Linked DNA regions of Danio rerio. The protein of the gene in region 1 purifies or fractionates together with the protein of each later gene. This does not show direct contact. Links are inferred from orthologs where the notes say so. Each region holds a gene or a part of one and is shown in the gene's direction. Other genes may lie near its edges.

Region 1 (2,910 bases):
ACTTACATACTGCACCTGTAAGACTTTTCCCAACTTCATAGGTTGTTTATAGCTGCATTTCCACTACCATTAAAATTGCACAAAAAGGAACTGCAATGAAAATATGCCTAATGGAAATGCATCAATTTCCTGCCAAAACCACAAAAAACTAATTTATTCATGACTCAAAAATGTATTTTTTTATTGTGCGGCACATAATACAGATGCATAGACAATGTTTAGAATAATGCTAAAAGGGCTGTTCTGTACTCTTATGCTGATGTCTCATGCTATGAAAGGGATTCATTAAAACAACAGTCATGGTTACTGAGTTCTAGACCTTCCTTTAATTAGAGGTCCTGTTTCATCTGAACCTTTCTCATTTCTTGTGTTTCTTTATTATCCTTTAATAGTAAACCAAACTGATGATGAATACCCTCATCATAACTGATGATGAATAATGTTACTGTTTTTTTCTCTTCATTTTGTATCTTCTGAAGTCAAGAAACGGGGTCAGACTGGCATTATTTCCTGCATTGCCTTCAGTCAGTGCCATTCCATGTATGCCTGCGGCTCGTACTCGCGCTCAGTCGGCCTTTACTCTTGTGATGATGGCTCTCTGCTGGCTCTGCTGCCCACCCGACACCATGGAGGCCTTACACACCTGCTGTTCTCACCCAATGGCTATCACCTGTACACTGGCGGGCGTAAGGTCAGTGGACTTATCGACCAATCAGAAGAGCTGTTATTAGCTTGTGCATTTTGAATTCTGCAGTTAAAAGGATGGTTCACTCAAATATTAAAATGCACTCACCATTTACTCTCGCTCAAATGGTTCCAAGCCTTCATGAGTTTTTTTATTGGGTTGAACACAAAAGAAGATATTTTAAAGAATGCTATAAACTTGTAACTATTAACTTTCATTACTATGGAATGGTTACAGGTTTCCAACATTTTTCAAAATGTCTTATTTTTTGTTGCTGAAGAAAGATACTGATAAGTAAAGGATGACATCATTTTTATGTTTTGGATGGACTATCACTTTCATATCATTGCTTTCAGGATTCAGAGATCCTGTGTTGGGACCTCAGAGATCCAGGACAGGTTTTGTTTTCCATGCAGAGGAATGTCAATACAAACCAGCGCATCTACTTTGACCTGGACCAGTAAGATTCTAATTTACAACTGGACTTAACTGAACTACTTTACTGTTGCCTCAGCATATTAATATATGTGCGTCTGATATAGATCCGGCCGGTATCTACTGAGCGGAGACACTGATGGGGTGGTGTCAGTGTGGGACACCTTAACAGCACTGCCTGATGGGAATGAGGAGATACTAAAGCCACTGCTACAGTTTCAGGCACACACCGACTGTACTAATGGCATCAGGTACAGTTATTATAATTTGAATAATGTTTAGAAGATGTAGAAAATAAAAAAATCTAAGCTGGTGTAGAATGATAAGTTCAGAGAAAAACTGCTTTAAAAATATTACAGTTTTTATAAATAGATTTGAATTATTCACCTTTTTATTATGGCTCTCCAGTTTTCAGTTTTACATGGTTTCAAAATTCTTCTGATTTGATGCTCTAAAAATTAAAAATCTGGGTCACACTTTGTTTTGACGGTTGGTTTGTTGAATTTAAGCTACATTGCATCTAAATTCCAACTAATTCTCATTAGAGTATAAGTAGTTAATTAGATTATTAGTTAGATTATAACTGTTAGGTTGGGGTTAAAGTTAGGGTTAGGGTTAATGTAAGTTGACGTATATGCAAAATTTATTATAGTCAGTTAAATGTCTGTTTAATAGCAGTATATTAAGCAGACAGTCTAGCAATACTTAAATGGACCATCAAAATAAATGTTACCAAAATATTTTGTGATTCTCAATATGTTTTGTAAAAAGAGATTTTTTTCATATAAAATTTTTCAATTAAAAATTTATTTTATTTTATCTATTTAAAAAATTTGAAACTGAAAATTATTATTTATTTATTTATTTTCATATTGTGTTTTTCATTGCGATTTCCATATTAGCATACAGATTTATGGTGAACAGAACATTTTTATTGAATATACAAAAGCAATTAAACATGAATATCCAGCAAGTGTACGGAATAAATTGACTAAATAAGTAAATAACCTTAAGGACTCAAATATATTATGTGAACATGGTAATAAACCACTATAATAATAAATTGTATATATTTTTATATAATCAAAGCAATATCTGATAATACTGATTCATCGTATTTCAATTGCCAATTCAGTTGTTTGCTTATTGTAGGTCCAGTGTTTCTAAACCACGTTCCTGCAAGACCATCATTGTCTGTCACACCCATTACAGGTCTTTTAGTCTCTGCTAATGAGCTGTTGATCTGAATCAGGTGTGTTTGATTGAGGAGACATGGAAAATGTGCAGAACTGGTGGTTCTCCAGGGACGTGGTTGAGAAACACTGGCTTAGTCCATACTGTGGTACCTAATCTGTGCTCCATATTTTCAAATCAACGTCATTTAAAAGGTTAGTTCACTCAAAAATGAAACTTCTGTCATTAGTAACTCACCCTCATGTTGTTCCAGTCCCCTGAGATCTTTATCTTAGCAACACAAATTAAGACTGTTTAGATCAGGGGTCACCAAACTTGTTCCTGAAGGGCCGGTGTCCCTGCAGGCTTTAGTTTCAACCCTAATGAAATACACATGAACTAATCAAGGTGCCTCCTAGGTATACTTAAAACATCCAGGCAGGTGTGTTAAGGAGAGTTGGAGCTAAAGCCTGTAGGGACACTGGCTCTCCAGGACCAACATTGGTGACCCCTGGTTTAGATGAAATCTTAGCGTTCTCTAACCCTCCATACACAATAATGATCCAGAAACTCCTTATGACTTCAGCGGTTGACATTAGGGTGCATGTTTACTATGA
Region 2 (3,839 bases), on another chromosome or scaffold:
TGACTGGTACAGTACGGGTCACCTTTAACAGGCTTGTGTTTCCACTACCAAGGGTACCCTTTTGGTGGGCTTGGTGTACGACAGAGTTTTAGTCGACGTCATTCTCACTTGAATAAATGAAATAAAGCTGCACAGCTCCACATATCATATGAGAAGCACTTCTCACAAGACAGATGCTTTATACACATAAATACTTGTTTATAAATGTTCATTACTAACTTTTCTATGAACATAATTTAATTATAACCGCAGCTCATTAACGAATCAGTGCGAAATAGCCTACTGTAATGTCTGCAATTATATAAAATAAAAAAATAAATGCTACATATGAACACGGACAGCCCCTTACATTCTCCCGATGTTACTAAATACAGAAAAACTACACACGGTATATAGTTAGTCCTTATTTAGGTTCATAAACAACAAGCAACATAGCCCACAGTCAGCACAAACCTCTCATCTGTGTCTGTAATCTTCAGCAGCACATGTAAACTCTGTTATAGAGTAATTCTGTCATTCAGAGATCATAATAGTCCAAAAGGCGATGATTAACATGGTAGTTTGTTCATGACTAAGGTTGCTGAAACAATTTGCTCCTGTGTGTTGTCGGGCTTCTCCTTTGTTCGCGCTTCACTTTCGCATTTGTACTTTTCTTTCTGAATGGATCAGATGATGGAGACACTTCAATAATCACGCACACGGTATTATCGTCAGCTCAAGAAGTTTGTTATATCAAATATAGACGCGAGCTCCTGGAGGAAAGCAAAAACCGCTCACACTTATAGACAGGCTCGCAAAACAACAACAGGACATGGCAGATTTTGTTCTTCTTGGCTTTGTGTCTGTACATCAAGACAACGACAAAGTTTGTTTGAGCTCGGGTCATCCATGGCTCTTTATTATATGCATATAGTTTTACAGTCTAATGTCTCGGCTGTGTATAAAAACATGGTTCCTTTGTTTTCATTCTGGCTAGCTCCACACGTATCTCTGTAACCAATTAGCTTTCAGCTGCGTGTGTAGCTCCCTTTTGGTACCCTTTCGAAAGGGTGCTGAAAAAGTGGTACAGTACGGTACGCCTTCTCACAGGGGAAACAACCATAAAAGCGTACCGAACTGTACCACTCAGTGGAAACGGGGCATAAATGCTATAGGCTGTTTCTTATAAAGGAGAGGAGCTACTTTAAGTCCCAATAGAATTGGTAATAGTGCTGGGCAAAGGTTAATCTTGATTAATCACATGCGAAATAAAAGACCGTTTTGAAATAATATATGTTTGTTTATTATGAATATTTATTATGTTATATTAACGCACAAAAGCAAAACTATATATACTATTTGAATTCAACAATGGTTAGTGTCTTAAAGCAGCTAATTTTGACATTAAATTGAATAATACTTCATTTATTTCTAAAAGTGTAAGAGTTTTTATAAAATCACAATCCAGAAAAAATTGCATTTTAATAAAACAAATTAAAGCACTACATTAAATAATTTAAATTTTTAATTCCAATCGGTTAGTAATTGTTAAATTTTGGATGAGATTTGCATGTAAACTTGGTTATAATGTAGGCGCACACACAGAAGTCATTCAAGCTCATTTATTTATTTTATTCTTAGCCCATCGAGTATATTTATTTACTTATGTAAATATATATTTATTCAGTTTTTATATTAATTTCAGTAATTTTATTAACTGATAGGCAGATATTTCTATGATTTATGTGCAATACAGTTTGTAAAGTCATATTTTCTGTCTTTTAGAAGGTGTATTGTATAAGAGACTTGCTTTGTTTACCAAATAAGTGGATATAATTGGATTTGATTTCTAATCCTTTTATAAAAGATATAATTTTTATTTAATGTTTTCAGTTACTGTGTTCCCAATATCCAATAGCCTACTGGTTAAGTGTGCCGACATATCAGGTCATGGTGATCCGAGTTTGATTCCCTGCTCGAGGTCTTATGCCTTCTACTGTTCTATCGAGTAAAGGTGGAAACCCCCTAAAAATTAAATAAAACAAAAATGATGCACAGAAATAACAAAAAATGTCTACAGATTCTGTCAAACCCTGACTATAAGGGTGTTTATGATAACAGAATGGACATGATCTGTTTTTCCTGGCAGGGATCCACCCGACCATCATTTCCGAGTCCTTCCAGAAGGCTGTGGATAAAGGTGTGGAGGTCCTGACATCCATCAGTACACCGCTGCTGCTCAGTGACCGCGAGAGTCTCCTGAACAGCGCCTCCACCTCGCTCTGCTCTAAGGTGGTGTCTCAGAACTCCAGTCTGCTTGCGCCTATGAGTGTAGATGCTGTCATGAAGGTCATCGATCCTGCTACCGCGACCAGCGTCGACCTCAGAGACATCAACGTGGTCAAGAAACTCGGGTGAGTTATAAATTATTTAGAGGGCTCTTATTGTACCCCTTTTACAAGATGCTTTTTGGTGTCTTGAGAATGTGAAGCTCAAAATACAATGCAGGATATGCCCAATTTGGCCTCAGAGCAGTGTAGCTGTTTTTGTAGCCTGTTCCTTTAAATGCAAATGAGCTGGTTTTCTCTGCCCACCAATCCCGCATGTCTGCTTCTACTGCGTTACGTCAGATAAACAGCAGTCAGTGACAGATGCAAACACGGATGAAGCAGAGATTCAGTTTATGAGTCAAAAATACCAAGTTTGGTTATTTGATGTATTTAAGGTGGTATTTATTCAATTCTGCAAGGACGAGTCGCACACATTTGCCATTACAAAGGTTGCAGTACTCGCACATACATGTTGACTAGAACTTTGCTCTCATATATTGTTGCTCCTCGTATATAGTTGTACTGTCACTATGTGACTTTGGAGATTCCTGCTGTTATGAATTACATAGTGATGTTTACTACAAACATACACTGTTTTAAAAATGCTTTAAAAGTGTAGACCTCTTTCCTGAGGTGCAGCTGATCACAGAGAGTTGGAACAGATCTTTTAATTCCAATTTCTTTGCAAATCCTGATCTGTGGACACTATGCATTACTATGAAGTGGTGCTGGGCGATTAATAGAAAAGTAACCGGATTTCAGACATTCAGAACCTATTGACCTTATTCTTCAATGCGGAAGTGCGCTCATTTTCGCGATTGTTTCAGAACTTCCGATTCAGTTACCTATGGGAGAAATGACTAGGAACAATAAACGGCTGAAAACGGTCAAACTACTTGCTCTATAAACAAGTGTTTGCATTATTAAACAGACAAAATAGAATAATATACTAAGAAACTATCAGTTTGAAACATAAAGCAGCAAAACTAGCTGTTTTTAACGTGTAAAAATGAATGGAAGTGAAGGAGACCGGAAGTCTCTAGCCAAAAAGATTCAAATGCCTGCGCCCGCTCGTGCACAGAGAATAAGGTGAATAATAGGATCTATATTTTGCAGGTTAATTTTTTTAATTGCACTCCTGCCGTGTGTGGAGTCACATGACCCTGCTTTGTCAAGGCTAATTAATAATTATGTTATGATTTATTCTTATTATATTCTGATATTTTACTTGTCAAGAACTCATCACACCACCTTGCGCCTCTCAAAAAACATAACTGCACGTCACAACGACATGTAGTACAAGCTTTGTGCTTGGTCGCTTTGGTAGCGGTGACGAGAGTGGGCAGTGCGGAGTGTGCGTTTTAGGCAATTTGTGTTTTAATTTGAAGTTGTTCATCATTGATGTTCATTAAATAATCATAGATAGTAGTGTGTGTTTCCTTCAATCATTTTAAAATCAAGTAATGCCCCCTTCTTTCAAAAGTCTGACTTGTAATACGGGAGCATATTTACAATAGAAAAATTGTCAGT

The links.
Region 2: the proteins of wrap53 (region 1) and cct4 purify together in Homo sapiens (co-immunoprecipitation; 3 studies listed by BioGRID and IntAct, with this or other methods). This does not show direct contact. The link is inferred for Danio rerio from reciprocal best matches to the Homo sapiens genes WRAP53 and CCT4.

The regions. Positions count from the first base shown.
Region 1 is NC_133182.1:20,902,165-20,905,074, forward strand, and holds part of wrap53 (telomerase Cajal body protein 1), read left to right. Parts: intron 1-479; coding exon 480-691; intron 692-1,041; coding exon 1,042-1,145; intron 1,146-1,227; coding exon 1,228-1,371; intron 1,372-2,910. UniProt on the Homo sapiens protein: RNA chaperone that plays a key role in telomere maintenance and RNA localization to Cajal bodies. Specifically recognizes and binds the Cajal body box (CAB box) present in both small Cajal body RNAs (scaRNAs) and telomerase RNA template component (TERC).
Region 2 is NC_133176.1:57,153,637-57,157,475, reverse strand, and holds part of cct4 (T-complex protein 1 subunit delta), read left to right. Parts: intron 1-2,128; coding exon 2,129-2,393; intron 2,394-3,839. UniProt on the Homo sapiens protein: Component of the chaperonin-containing T-complex (TRiC), a molecular chaperone complex that assists the folding of actin, tubulin and other proteins upon ATP hydrolysis.